2 linked regions of the Notamacropus eugenii genome follow. Each later gene encodes a partner of the first gene's protein in a complex. Links are inferred from orthologs where the notes say so. Each region holds a gene or a part of one and is shown in the gene's direction. Other genes may lie near its edges.

Evidence for each region. Proteins that work in one complex are often made in the same cells at the same time.
Region 2: BRD8 (region 1) and EPC1 share a complex: the UniProt entries of both Homo sapiens proteins name them as parts of the nuA4-related complex. The link is inferred for Notamacropus eugenii from reciprocal best matches to the Homo sapiens genes BRD8 and EPC1.

Annotation. Positions count from the first base shown.
Region 1 is NC_092872.1:365,308,766-365,316,137, reverse strand, and holds the start of BRD8 (bromodomain-containing protein 8), read left to right. Parts: upstream 1-4,289; 5' UTR 4,290-4,401; coding exon 4,402-4,492; intron 4,493-5,000; coding exon 5,001-5,097; intron 5,098-6,968; coding exon 6,969-7,038; intron 7,039-7,372. Other genes in the region: kinesin-like protein KIF20A, read right to left, coding at 102-296, 595-742, 826-1,013, 1,115-1,253, 1,856-1,975, 2,072-2,158, 2,502-2,669. UniProt on the Homo sapiens protein: May act as a coactivator during transcriptional activation by hormone-activated nuclear receptors (NR). Isoform 2 stimulates transcriptional activation by AR/DHTR, ESR1/NR3A1, RXRA/NR2B1 and THRB/ERBA2.
Region 2 is NC_092874.1:72,575,487-72,583,490, reverse strand, and holds the start of EPC1 (enhancer of polycomb homolog 1), read left to right. Parts: upstream 1-4,916; 5' UTR 4,917-5,215; coding exon 5,216-5,368; intron 5,369-8,004. UniProt on the Homo sapiens protein: Component of the NuA4 histone acetyltransferase (HAT) complex, a multiprotein complex involved in transcriptional activation of select genes principally by acetylation of nucleosomal histones H4 and H2A.

The DNA of each region.
Region 1 (7,372 bases):
AGACAGGGAGAAGGGAATAAGTTAAAAACCTCTAATTTTTACTCCCCTTCTTTCTCTTTCTCTTTTTTTAGTTACTTTCCTTGACCTCCAACTCTCACTACCTTTTACGTAGGGATTGCCATTTTGGTCTTCACATAGCCGGAGTGTCTGCCTCTTTCGCTGCTGGCTGGGGGGCTCCAACAAGTCAAAGATCATCTCATTATAGATCTCAAAGAAGGAGATCCAGATAGAGAACCGGACATCAGCTGGGACACAGAATGGGGCAGTATCTGGCTCAGCCCATCTACAAGATGTGTCTGTGGAAGGTACAATAAATAGTCAGCTACAAGCCTAGCTTTGATCATCATGCTTGCGTCTCAATAGCAAAGAATCACCCTGGGCTTTCACTCCTAATAACAGTAACTCTGGATTTCTACAGAAGAAAATGTACTTGTAGAGGTAAGTTTAAAAACATGCCTTTCACAAGGACTTCTTACAAGGGTTTGATTTTTTTTTTTTTCAGTAAGGGGTAAAGACAATGTGAGGTGGGAAGGAGGAAAAAATAGACTGTGTTCACTGAAATGACAAAATTTTCTTAAAGTTAAAAAAATATACCCTCCATTTGGCTGAGGCTGACACTGCTTTGGCTAGTCAAATGGCTCGTAGAAGAGAGTCCAGCAATGCCACTGTCAAAACTGGCACTGTTCCCCAGCGGTAGTGATTCAGTGTTGTGGCTTTTCTTCAGAGAGTTTATCACTTCCTCCTAGAGAAACCCCAAGAGAAAATAAATACAAAGATTTCCTCGGAGTACTCCTGCCCTTCATTGATGCGATTCTGGGTACTGACCTCACGAGAGCTGCCATTCAGCAGGGCTGTCTTCTTCATCTCTTCCTGCCTCACCTGCTTGCTATCTAGCCAAATCACTTCATTAGCAAAAGAAGGCTTCAAGTCAGAGGCTGGGTAGAGCTGGTTTCGAATACTATTGAAGATCAGAGCCAGAGAACGAGGTAGGATCCCTCCATCCTTGTTGCTACCTAGAAACATAAAAAAGGAGAGCTGAGTGCTAGCACTTGAAACGCTAAAAGATCCTTCTAGAAACTCACCAGAATTTCATGATGCTTTGACTCTCACTCACCCTGGACAGTATGGGTCTTTCCAGAGTTAGTCACTCCATATGTATAAATGAGCCAGTTGTAGCCTTTGAGCACATCTCTGACCATTTCTTTCACTGTCAGGTTGAAGAAAGATGCCTGTCCTACTTCTGGTCCAAAGATCTAGGAAGAATACAGTTCCTTGAAGTCTCCTCCTTGTTTTTAACATAGGTTCATTTCCACCAGCCTAATCCCTACCCCTGAAAGTCAGTTCCTCCCATAACTCTCTATTACTCCCCAGACCTATTTGGTATCTAAATACTAAACAATAGCTGTTTCTCTTTTACTCAGAAATCCTGAGGGTCTTCCCCTCCCAGTTTGATTTTTTTTTTTTTGGATTAAAGGGGCCATCCTTTGAGTAACTACTTAACATTGAATGGGTGTATCTCACTCAAAGTGAGGATGTGATAAGACAGGACCAGGATCTCCCATTGTATCCTGATGAATATCAGGCCACTGGACCCAGATGGCTCAGAAGAAATAAGGCTGGTGACCTGGCACAGCCCTCCCTCACTCAAATCAAAGTCAACTGCAAGTCATGTCATCATCTTTATGTCATGGTCTTCTTTGAGAACGAAGGACAAACGCAACAACAATTACTCCCCAGACCACTATGGACTCAACAACTTTATGGATCTTCCTCTTGGCAAACATATAGAAAAACATTTTCCCACTGGTTATACATCTCACTGGCAGCCTTGTTGAAAGTGCTTCCAGCTTGATACCTGGGAAAAGGTGAATCTATGAGTGGCTTGGCCCACACCTCTCTCATTGCTTCTCATAGCAAAAGAGTCCTTGGGTGCCTGCAGAACAAGCGTTTCTGGGTTTTCGATTCGAACACAGCCCTAGCAAATGAAACATACATAAACATGTTAGGAGAAGGGGGCAGTCTCATTACCCTTTTATATCATATCATAACGTGTGCTTCCCAAGGCACTCACCTGTTCTTGTCTCTCTACCTCTGAAGGCAGCAGGGGTCGGACTCTCAAGTATACTTTTACCTTCTCTGCACCATCTTCAGGTACAACCTGTGGCAGAAACCCAGCCAAGAGCCCCACTGATTAGATTAAACAACTACCTCTGAGCCTGAAATCATAGCAATCACAGGATTACTCAGCAGACACACTAGGGAAGTCGTATAGACCTCCCTCTACTGCTACACTCATGCTAAGAGACTGAAGAAAAGTCATTTGTCCTCCTCTCTCAACATCCTCCTTCCTCCTAAGACCTAACCCACAAACGTGCAACAAAAGCCAGCACGTTACCTGCACCAAGATGAGGGTGGGGAGGTATGCATACCTCTGCATGAGGGCGTGCGTGGGAATGGCTAGGAGGGGATGCATGAGTGGGCGTCATCTCGCTGGACTTTACCTGCTCTTTGTCCTCTATCGGGGGAGGGGAGATGGCAGAGAATTCCGACAGCAGGTCCTTTTGGATCCCGACTCCCAAATCAGCAGCAGTGGATTCGAACACGGGCGACACGACGATGTCCTCATCCGAAAGGAAGCCGACAGGCGGGGTCAGGATACCCCGAGACATGACCACGGTGGCGCGTTCCTCCTGGGAGAGGAAAGGGGCTTCAGGGAGAGGGTACGAGCACCTTCCACACCTGAGGTGGGAACCCGTTCTTCCCTCCATTCTCCGCTTTCCCAGACCCGGGAGAAGGCTCACTCCTGGGAAAGCCTCGGCCCCCCGAACCACCGACCCACACGTGAGCTCCGGCTCTAGCTGCGGGGAGATACGGAGACCCCCCCCCCTCATCCACCGGGCCTCGGAGAGGGGGCTCGCAGCCCAGCCCCTCGCCCCAGGCAGGTTATTAGGGAAGCCGTGGCCGAAGGGCTCCGGGGTCAAGTTCACCGGTGAGAGGCGCCCGCGAAGGACCAAGCCGCGGGGAGTGCAGGCCTTTACCCGTTAGCGCGAAGACTTTCCCAGCTCGGCCTCCAGTACCGGAACTCTCTCCGGGTTCCCCTGGCGCTCCAGGTCTCTACTCTCCCAGGGTGAAGAAGACGCCGCTGGCCGCCGCGTTCCTCCAGCCCCAGCTAGCCCTGCAGCCCCCAGCCCAGCTCCGCTCCACCCACGAGGGGCAGCTTTGTTTCGGAGGCAAGGTTTCAAACGACGCGCTCTGCTCTGTCAGCCAATCCGGCGGCGAGATCACATCCGCCAATCATGGCGCTCAGAAGGCGGGCAGGGTTACCAACCGTCGCTGCGTGGGCCTTTGGGCTCCGGGCTCCGGGCCAGGGCTTCTGCCCGCCCTTAAGAACCCCCGACAGCCTGTCCCCCCATGAAATGTGAAGGGAAACCCAAAGGTGAGGCCATCATCCCTCGCCCTACCGTTTTCTTATCCAGAAGCTTGCCCGAGAACTAGAGACTCCTCCCCAACTCTACACCACCCACCCCAAATAAACTCCATTTCCCAGAGGGCATCTGGTTGTGTGTGGTGTCAACTCAGGGCTCGCACTCCATTTCCCAGAGTCCTTCGGGGCGCAGTCCGATAAGGACCTGCCTCTTCTCGGGAAGGGGGAAGAGTCGGGGCCAAGATGGCGACAGGGACGGGCAGTGAGTGTCTGCGCTGCTCGGGGATGGGCCGCTGCGGCGGTTGTGGCAGAACCCTCCCGACCGCCCCCCTTCCCGCTTCCAGCTCGAGGGTTGGGATTCGCAGAGCGCTGGGCCTGGGGGCCCTGTGAGATCGCGCTAGGCGAGACTCGAGCTTGCCGAGGGGGCCGCCGAAGAGGGCTTGTTTATGGAGGGGCCTGGGTCGTGTGCGGAGCCCCAGGGGGAGGGGGCGGGGCAGCGAGGCTTCGAGCGCCGGAGAGACCGGTGGATGGAGGCCTCTATCTGCCCTCGCCCCTCCCTCCCTGCCTCCCCCGTCTGAGTGCCGCGTTCCCGCAGCTTGGGCGGGGCGAGGCCTCCTGCGGCCTGGTCTGCGGGGAGCGGCTCAGGTTTCTTAGTGAGGCGTGTAGCGCGGGAGCCAGGCCTGCCTTGTGCGTCTCTGCGGGGGGGGCCGAGCTTTCTATCCGGAGTGGCGTAGACAGATTTTAGAGCTGGGAGGGCCGCTTAGACGTTAGGCGGCCCACCCCTCTTTTTTTTCCCCCCGCTTTTTGAAAAACAACAACGTTCCCTGCAGTGGAAAGATTATAAGGCTCGGATTCAGGAGGCCTGGGTGCTAGCCTGGATTTGATTACTGTCATTTTTTAGACCTATAGCTTGCGATCTTTAGGCCTCAGTTTCCTAAACTGTAAACTGAGAGGTAAAAGAGGCGTTGGTGGACCAGATGCATTGTGGTACACCTGAAAGAGTCCAGACTATGGAGTTAGAAGGGCTTGGGTTCAAATCCCAGCTCTGCTGCTTACGAAGTGTGAGAGGTAGTGGGCAAATGATTTAGCCTCCTTTTTTTTCAACTGTAAAATAAGGCGATTGGGCTAGAACCAGGGGCTTTTAATTTGGAATTTATGGATAGGGCCTTAAATAGATTTCAAGAAGGTTTTGAATTTGGATTAAAAAATTGATATTTGTTTTCCTTGATATTTGATTTCCTTTTTATTTTATGCATTTAAAAAATTCTGAGAAGGGGAGCCAAAGGTTTCTCCAGACTGCCAAAGGGGTCTGAGACACAAAAAGTTAAGAACCCCTGGACTAGATGATTTCTAAGGTCTTACTCAACTGCTTCTTTACCTTATTCTTAAGGTGGATTGTTGAGATTTGAAGGCATAGAGCAGGTCCTGGTCCACAGTGGGTTGCTACCCAATTTTTGATGTAAAGAGTTGTATTGAGACCAATCTGGTTTAGTTCACTTGATTGGAATAGTGTTAGACCTTTGCCTGGGATTGGTGTCTTCTCAATGGACTCTCACTGAGTTTCCTCTTTCTACAGAACACAAGCTGCTGAGTACTGGCCCCACAGAACCCTGGTCTATTCGGGAGAAGCTGTGTCTAGCCTCCTCTGTCATGAGGAGTGGAGATCAAAACTGGTAAGATACTTGGGATATCAAATGTAGGATAGCAGGAGCTTGGGACATTGAAATTATTGGGAGGCTTTCCTGTACTCGGGGGTTAGTTGAGCCATAGGAGCCAGGAGATAGTGTAAATCCTTAACCATTATCTCAGACTATTGTGAAGTTCCAGGGGAGTAAAAGAGAAGGGTCTTGAATCTTAAGATTTAGTTTAGCCTTTTTGTGATTTTCAGAAAAGAATGAGCACCTTCTTGACTAATTGTCTGCTCTTTCTGTTAATAGTTAAAATACAATTTTTAGAATTTTTTTCTTCCTCAATCTGATTCCAATTTTGGAGTTATACCATTAGTTTAAATGAGAACTCAGTCACTCATTAAGTAGAAGATATTGTTCTCTACAGGAAACTTTGCTTGCTTTCTGGTGTTTACCTGGGCCCTTAGATGGAATCTTGTAATGAAAAACTTGAGAACTGCTTCCCCTGTATTTGTAGAAGCATGTCCAGTGGTGGTAGAGATTAATATCAGTCACTCTCTACCTTGTAAGTAGCAACAGTTCAGGAGCCATCCCTTATCTTCATAATGTAATGGAAAATCTACTGACCTTGAAGTCAAAAGATCTGGGCCTGATTTCCTGCTTAAATGAATATTGATGAACTTGGTGACCCTGGGCTTAGTTAAAAACCACAGCTGTGGTACCTCCTAATCTAGTGGTGCCCTACTTATGAACACATGAAGTGATTCCCGGGTATCTGTCTGTAAATCCATACGTATAAAAGCATTGCCTTTCGTTCCAGAAGCTCCTGTGTAATGGTTGTAAATACGGGGTATTTCAAATATATCCAGATGCTTCAGGGATTAATAAAATGCCAGTTGTAGAAATGTTTCTGATTTCTTCGTATCTTTTAGTCATTAGGTAATTTCTCAGTCATTATATGTTAATGTTAAAATTAATGTCACAAAAAAGTGGATTTATTTTACATTAAAAAGGGGTCTTCAGGTACAAAGCCTAGTAACGACTGCCCTAAATCTGCAAGATGGGATAATGGTACTTGTAAACCCCCTATATTAAAAGAGTGTTGGGAGGCAATTGCTTTGGAAACCGGAAAGCACTATGTAAATGTAAGCTGTTACACATGGGGGTGTGATGGCGCTGTTGGCTGTTGTTGATGCGCATCGTGCATCGAGTTGAGAGTGTAATGTGGTGCAGAGACGCTGTGTTTGTTTTTGGGTAGTTTTGGTCCGATCAGAGGCTGAATCCTAGTTCTGTCACCTTTGTGTAATCGGGGCAAACCCCACTCTGTGAGCTTTAGTTTTCTCATCCTTAAAAGGAGCATGATAATACTTGTATTATTTGCCTCACAGGGTTATTGTGAGGAAATTTCTTTGTAAACCCTCAAGTGATAACAGAACCAAAGACTAGAATAAACAATAAACTGTGCCAGTTTGTTAAACCCAGCATACTCATATATTTAACTTGACTGCAGTATAAAATCCAACCCAGCTTTTCACAAAATGTCTAGTGAAGTAGTTTGAACTGACACTATACTTATTTATTTTTAAGGCATTTGAGTCATAACAATAAGAATACTGACACATTCCCCAAACTGATAGAGCATTAGGTACCTATTCTTTCTCTTTCTCATCTAGAAGTTCTACTGAGGAATGTTCTTTTCATTCTAAATGACTTTTACGTTGTTTATTTACTCCCATATTCAAAGTCTGTTCCTTCGCTGTTCCTAACTGTACTCCTTTTGGTTTTAAAAGTGTGGCTCCTAACCTGTGGACCTGAAATTACCAGCATATCTTTTGTCCTCTCATGATGGAGTTTTATAGTATGTTGTGGTCCAAGACTGATGCTTTGAAGGTCCTTATTTTTTTCTTTTTTTGTAGGGTGTCAGTTAGCAGAGCAATCAAGCCCTTTGCTGAACCTGGCCGACCTCCTGACTGGTTCTCTCAGAAAGTAAGCTCCAGGGATAGTGTCCTTCTATAGCAGTCTTTCCGTACCCAGTCCTATTAATTTAACCGGAAGACCTTTGCCTTATTGAGAGAATTTAAAGTTATGCACTTTTACTGTAGATCAGTGAAAATTGCCTTTTATTTCCTTGTTACCCCTCCTTCAAATTTACCTGTTTGTATTGAGGGTACTACTATTTTTCCATTTACCCAGTTTTACAGTCTTGGGTCCTTTTTTTTTTTAATTAACTTTTTTTTTTCAATTAACCAAAATCTAACATCTCTCTTTCCCACCACCAACCATTTCCCACTGAAAAAGAAGGAAAAATGAAGCCCTTTTA
Region 2 (8,004 bases), on another chromosome or scaffold:
TACAGTAGGTTCTCAAGAAATGTTGTGAACTGATACAAATTCAATATAATTATACAATTCAATATAATAATTTTTAAATGTTTCTACTAATGTGCATGATTTATAATTCTTAAATTTTAGTTTTCAAAGATACCCTTTTATTTTTAATAAATTAATCATTGGAATTTAATTTTTTTAAAAACTCACCAAATAGTTCTTTTATCAAGTACTAACCAAAACATTGTTAAGAGAAAGGTGGTTCTATGGAAAGCCTGATGAATTTAAGGTCAAGGGACCTGAGTGTGAATGCCACATCTGGCACTTAACAAGGTGTATGACTTGGGAAAGTCACATCTTCTTTGGGCCTCAGCTTCCTCTTCTATAAAATGAGGCGTTTGACCTTACATGTCCTCTAAGATCTCTCTCAGCTCTAAATCTATGATCTATGAAAAGCTGCAACCAAAATATCATAATGCTTTCCAACCACTTAATTAATTTTTCATAAAAGCCAGCAACACTTTAAACTGTTGGTTTCACTTGGCAGACAAACAGGCATGTAGATCATAACAAAAACCAAGACTATTTTTACTAATTGAGTAATACCATCATCTCAGTCAATATTCAGTTGTGGGGTTATTTTAATGTCTCAAATTACCGTCTCTGTATATCTCACTATTCTTTCCCATCAACAACACCTAGAAATAGCCGCATTAAACATTACTACGCTGGTCTTTACCTCTATTAACCTTCTTTTTCATCAGTTTCTTGCAAGACTAGCAGGATGGAGATAAGTTCATTTACCAGTTTGAGAGTTAAAAAAATGAAGGTTAGGCTTGGAAGTAGCAGAAAATACCCAATCACTCCTGATTTTTTTGGTCTAAATTTAAGTGAAACTTTTTTCACTGACTTTTAACTTCACCACAACTTTAGTCTTCAAGTAATATAAAATAAAGTGCTTTGTACTTAGACAGCTTTTTATCTCAGAGGAACTCAAAGCATTTTATTGCTAGTAATAATTAATATGGACACTCATAGGCATCTCATGTGGGAGGTCAGTGTTTTTCCTCTTTAGAAAATTAAAAAAAAAAAGACCCAGAGAACTTAATGATTTGTCCAACATTAACAATGGAAATTTAACTATAATTAAGATGTCTTAGGCTAGCCCCATGACCCTCTCAAAAGGATTTTTAGAAACTGCAGTTTTGGTACACTTGTTGTGATTACTACATCATTCAGGAATAAAATATGAAACAATAAGTTAACTGCCTTTCCTTCAAAGGAGAACTTATTAAAGTATTTATTGTTTTACAGTCACAAAGTGTTTTACAACTAACATGCTATATTAACTTTTTAATTTTAGGAGCATCAATTTCCCTAAGAATCTTTTTTTTGGAGGTGGGAAGAAGTCTACATTTTCACAAACTAGTCCATCATGGGATTTTAGAGGAGGAAGGCATTGTTTAAAAAAAGATGGATTTTATTTTCCATAAACTAGGGTTTTACAAATAGTGATAAGATTTAAAGTGTGTGTATATATAACATATGCTTATATATATATATGCAAATCAGTCAATTGACAGGCATTTAACAAATGTGCTACTGTGTACTCAGCCCTGTGCTAGACATTTTGGGAGAATATAAAAGATATAGAAGACATGACATCTGCCCTCCAGAAGCTTATCATATTCTAGTTGCAGAGATAAAATATAAGACAACTAAAAAAGTTTTCTACAACTGACTATACAAGTAATAGGAGCTCAGAGATACAAGAGATTATCAGTCTGTCATTGAATTTTTCAAGCTGAAAGAAATCTTGGAAATAAAAGTGTAACCCTCTCCTCTGATAAGGAAATAAGCCCAGAAAAAGTCATTGGTTCACTATGGAGGTTAGACTTGCAATGGACAAGAAGCATTTTGAAAGGGAGACTGAGGAATAAAGGATGGGGGATTGCCAGAGGTGAGAATGAACATAGCATATGCTAATGGCAGGAAACTGATTGTCCTGACCAGCGAGGAGCATGACTTTTCGATGTTAGGGCAGGATGTCTGTAGGGGAGTCATTGTAGGTATTTGATCTGCAGAAGAACAACGAACGTAGTATTTTAGGAATATTAGATTGAGAGAATATTGTTGGATGGGCTGGCAAGAGGACAAGGTAGAGATAGGGAAAACAGGAAGTCTATTGTGGACTTCTAAGTGGGATGACAGTGGGACAGGAGAGAATGAATTGTATCATGAATTGTAGATATATTTTGAAGAAGTAAATGACAGGACCTGGTAACAGATTGGGTGTATGTGTAAACATTGTAAGCATGGTTTTATATATATATATATGTATGTATGTATGTATGTATATATGTACATGTGCACATATATACATATATACACCCACACATATGAGGGTACTTGTCTTTAGGTTCTGTTGGTTTGACTCTTTTTTTCTTTCTTTACTATTCATTAATATTAGCAGAAATCCCAGTTTTGAACTAGAATTAATGTTTTAGGTTTAGATTTTTTTTCATAACTTATGAGGATTATCACTTAAATCATTCATCATTTCCTTTCCATTCCCAGTGCTACGACTTTAGAGCAGACGCTATTCCATTACCCTCCTAACGTTCTCTCTTGTATTTTTCCATAGACCACTTCTCAAGTTATTCTTCTTAGAGGACAGCTTCAGTCACATTAGTCCTTTGCTCAAAGATGCCCAGTGACAACCAAATCGAGTCCAAATTCCTGATGTTCAAAGCTATCTGAAATTGGATATAACTCTTTTTTAGACTTACCTGTGAGCAGTTAGCCAGATATGGCGCTCTAACAAGATCAGACCTCTTGCTTTCCCCCAAACATGCATTGCTCCTTTCTTCCATAAGCAAACATCCTTGATCTCATCCCCACAGCTCAACTTCTTGACCCCTTATGTATCCTTCAAAACTAAGCTCAAATGCTACCTTTTCCATTCAAGTTTATCTTGGTCTAAAGTGATCCTTTCCCTGTACTCATGGTACTCATTACTGCCTTGTGTTGTGTGTTGTATTATCTCCCCTACTAGAGTAGTCATAAGCACCTGGAAGTCAGAGATTGTCTCTCTCATCTTGGTATAATAGCTGTCATGTATATATTTACAAGGAATTTCCTTCATAATAATTCTGTGAGGTAGATAACACAGTTCATCCATTTCATGGATGAGGAAATGGAGACAGAGAAGTGATTTGCTCAGTCAGAAAGCAAGTGTCTTTCCTTGGTGCTTTTGTATTTTACGTAACCCGTATGAAGCGCCTTGCATGTAGTCTATATTCTGTATATATTTGTGGGGTATATACTTGGGAATCAGCAGTAGCTGTTTTAAGGGGATTTACCTGTCTAAAGGAGTCATCATATTTGTTTCTGGAGGAGGAAGGATTTTTGTATAAAGTGAAGGGAAAGCTGACTCTGCTTTCTTAAGTTTGTTGAATCAATATTCGTTATATTAGCATCCTCCCGCTGGAGGGAAGTAGCGGCTATTGCTGTCCCCAGGATGGGCTAGAGCTAACCCAGGCCAGGAGGTAGCAATTTGCCCATTTGCCCATTTGCCCTCAGCCAGTGGTTAACGATGCCGACCGATCGTACTTATCTTGACGTGATGTGGGATGTACAGCCGGGGGAAATGGACTGAGAAGACGTTTTTGTGGAGTGAATGTGGGGATTTCTCTGCAAGACCAATCAGCCCATCCCGGACCATTTTAAACTGGGAAGGCTCTTGGAATCCCTATTCTGGCGTCTGGAATAACCCTTAGAAGACGAGTTCGCCTGCGTCTCATTCATAAATGACTAGAGGCGCTCGGGCTCTTGCTGTTTCAGCTGCAGAACGTCTTTTACGACCCTTGCCACAAATGGCATTTATTTAATGTGTGTAAAATGTTTTAGAAGAAAGCCTCCTAAACAGGACGAATGACCGTCCGTCACGGCCACTCGGGAAACAGCCTCTTCTTCTACCACCGGCGGGGAATCAGGACTTCGCGAAAGCCCCAGCACCGGGACAACTGGGGGAGAGGGTCCCGGCTTCGGCAAAGAGGAAACCCTTTCGGAACGTCCCCGTCCCGGTTACGTTCAGGATTCCCCTCCTCCGTCCGGTTCCATGTGCGTCTACCTCCCCGCATCTGCAGATAAAACAGAATGAAGCCTCGCGCGGGGCAGCCGGGTGTTTAATATTGACGCCCCAGCCCGGCGCGGCGGCGGGGTAACGGTGCCCAGGGCCGTGCCCCCCAGCAGGGGGGCGGCTCCTCGAGGGCAGCCCGTGTAGACGGCGCTGACTTCGCGACCGTTTGGTTTGCAGAGAAGCTCGAGTGGTGTCGGGGCGCGCGCCCGCCCGCGCGTGTGTCGGTGTGTGCGCGCGTGTCGGTGTGTGTCAGGGGGTGTGTGCGTGTGTGTGTGTCAGGGGGTGTGTGCGCGCGTGTTCGCGCCGCCACCTCCGTCGCGCCGGGCTTTTCTCCCCGAGGCCCCCCAAGTTGCCGGCCCGGCTGCAGGAGCGCGCCCCGGCCGCTCCGAACCATCGAGCTCTCGGCGGCTGCCCTCCCACGGCAGCAGCGGGCGCCGGGGCTCCGGGACGGGGGGCTCCGGGCTGGAGGAGCGGCCGGGATGGCAGGGGCCCCCCGGAGCCCGGCGGCGACCGGCCCCAGCGCTCCCGCGGCTCTCCGGGAAGCCTCGGCCGGGAGCGGGGCAGCCCGGGGTCCCGGCAGCGCGGTCCCCTCCGGACCGCGTCGGGCGGGAGCGGCGGCCCCGGGGCGGGGGAGGACCGGGGGGAGGAGAGCGGAGCAGGCAGCGGCGGCGGCGGCGGCGGGAGCAGCCAGGAGCCGGAGCCGGAGCCGGAGCCAGCCTGGGGAGCAGGGGTTGGCGGGGGCGCGCGCAGTCCGTGCCGGCGCCCGGCCTCGAGCCCGCGCTCCCCCCCTCCGCCGCGTGCCCGCGCCGCTGCGCGATGCAGTGTGGGGAATGGCTGGGGTTGGCTGAAGAGCGCACAGTGGAGTTTTAATGTCCGCCATGTTGGCCATGGCGTATTGAAGAGAGCGAGTGAGAGCGGAGCGGAGCGGCACAGGCACCCACCCTCCCGGCTGCGGTGAGGGCCCGGACGGCGGGCCCCACGCTCCGCCCCTCCAGTCCCCGGCAGCGGCAGGCGAGTGGGGACCGAGCCCCGGGTTCTCCATGATCCCGCTGGCCGGGGCCGTTTCCCCAGAGCGGAGAGGTATCTGCTGCGCCTGAGATGAGTAAATTGTCGTTTCGGGCGCGGGCGCTGGACGCCTCGAAGCCGCTGCCGGTCTTCCGCTGTGAGGATCTGCCCGATCTGCACGAATACGCCTCGATAAACCGGGCCGTGCCGCAGATGCCCACCGGAATGGAGAAGGAAGAGGAGTCGGTACGTGTAAACTCCCCCGCCCGACCCACCGCCAGGCCCCGCTCCCCCTGCTGCCTGCGGCGGCCACGGAGCAGTCAGCCCCACACAAAATGGCCGCCATCTTCTCTTCCCCGCCGACGTTCAGTCGCCGGCCCGGCCTTTACCCCGACTCCCTCGGCCTCGACCCCCGGCCCGCCGCGGCCCCGCCGGGCCCGCACCGGCGCTGCCCACCGCCGCCCCCCCCTTCGGCCGCTTCCACCCGGGACCCGCCGGGTTCGGGGGCCCGAAAGGCACAAAGGGGGTCACGTGACGAAGCGGCCGGCAGCCATTTTGTGGTCTTTAGTTCTTGGGTTGGGCCTTGTGCAGCGAGAGAGGGGAACGGGTTGGGGGGGGCGACGGAGGGGGGGAGCGGGGAAGGAGCGCCCGCCTGCAGGCCTCCCGGCTCGCCGCTGGGTGGCGCCGCCAGGTCGTCGGGGCCCTCTGGCCGCTGCCGTCGCCCGGGCCGCACGCTCGGGGATTGTGCTCGGCCGCTCTGGCCGGGAAAGCATTTCCGTTTCTAGGCAGCTCCCACGTGGGGCCTGTGGGAGGCCCGTGTTTACTGCAGGCCCCCGGAGCTCCTGTTTATTCTCAGGACCGACTGCGCCCCGCTTCGTCCCGTCCCCGGGAGCCCCTCGGAAAGGCCGGGGTTGCGCGGCCAGGCCGGAGGTCGGTTAGATCCGAGCCCAGGACCCCGGCCCCGGGTCGCCTCTTCCCTCCCCACTCCCCGGAGCGCTGCGGGTAAAAGCCATGGCTCCTCGTCCCCGGCCGAGCCTCCCGGAGGAACGGGCTGCAGGTTTGTCTGGGCCGTAGGGCTCGTTGCTCGCGAGGAGGGGGCCGGCGGAGGCGGCCGAGCCCCGCGGGGGTGGTGCCACCCCCGGCCTCCGTGCCAGGGCTCCGGTGGGGCGAGTTTCTGGGTTCGGAACGTTGTCCCTCCTGCTGCCTACTTACCATGTGTATTTTTGTTGTTGTTCTGGGCTTCATGGAAGCACAGGCAGAGCAGAAACTGTTCTTTTTTTAAAAAGTTGGGTTCTGAGGGGAGGCTCCTTAGACTCTCCTCTCTGCTCCCCCGCCTTCCCCTCGTTTTTCACCGCATAACTTGATGCCTTCTAATCCTAAGGAATTGCATACCTTGGTTTTCAGGTACAGCCACTTAAAACAGGGTGCAGTGTAATGACAATTCCAGGAAGTCCACGAAGCACACAATACCGCAGTTTGTGGAACAGTTGTCCATTAGAGCCCAGTGCTTCTAACAGACTTGTGTGTAACTGTACTGCAATGACTTTCCTTGGGACTGTAACATGAAAGATGAATTGTATGGTGGTGATTGCTCATTGTAATGTTACTCAAACAATAAAAACTGATGAAATTGTTTTGGTTGCTTAGAAAGTTAATAAATAGTTGTATCGGTTGAATGTTAACTTTTTTTGAAAGAGTAGTGTCAAATCTATCACATTTTCATGTGCACTGAAGGAACCTAGTGTAGTGTGAGGCGTGAAGCTTTCACTGACTTTCAGCACCTTCTCTGTGAGACAGAACCTCTTTAATTTTTACTTGTGTTAACTTTAGAGTAGAATAGTGCAATTTTTGTTTTGGATAAGTGATTTTAAAAAATTAAAATACTTGTGACCGCAGTATCTTGTCTTTTTGTTTTATTTTTATTTGTATGTAGGCTTTGAAAATTATCTGTTGTGGGAGGGGGTTAGTAGATGCTAGTATTACACCTGTTTAGATGCAAGTAGCTCTGTGGTGGAACCAAGAAGAAAGACCCTTCATTGCTTTATTTACTCCATAGGTAATAATCCTTTCAGGAATGTCTTGTGAATTAAATTTAGGCATTTCCAGGAGTGGCTCAGTTTTGCTTGTCTTGACACTGACTGCTTAAGTTGGCAGTATATTTGATTTTGCATTTAAAGTTTCAAATTTATGAGGGAAATTACATCCGTTGCAACATGCCATTTCTGTAGATTTGATGTATGTATTGCATATGTGTAGTTGAAGGCAAAATTCTGTTTACCATTTAAGTTATTTTTTCCATTTACAATTCGAAATTTGTTAGATTTCACTAACCAGAGAGAGAATGGATGTTAAAATAAGAAGCCAAGCTGAGGGGAAATGACAGCCACTAAAAGAAATTTTATACCAGAGCTACTCTTGATCTTCAGGTCTTAGTTTCCATATTAAGCCCCTAGACCAAACACTTAAGTGATCAGCACTTATCTTATGCTTTTAAATTCCTTTATAATATGGGGAAGTGAGAAAAATCTTTCATTGACATCTAGTTTTAGGCGCTTAGATACTACAGGTTAAATTGAATTGGGACCCTCCAGTACTATTTTCATGACAAAAAAAAAAAGAAACAATGTAGATTTACTTGGTAATCTGAAAAGAGTTTTGTTTACCATTAAACCTATCAAAAATCTGTCACTTAGACTAGGAACATACTGCTGCTGTAAATGTAAGCAAAATGATTCCAGCAAATACAGGTCAGTTAAATATACTACTACATAGCCATGCTCATTAAATGAATGGTGGGGGTAGAAAAAGATACTAAGATCTGGAAGTGAGTTGTCTTAATTTAGCCTGATCTTTTTATCAGGAGAACTATGGTCATAGCTGTG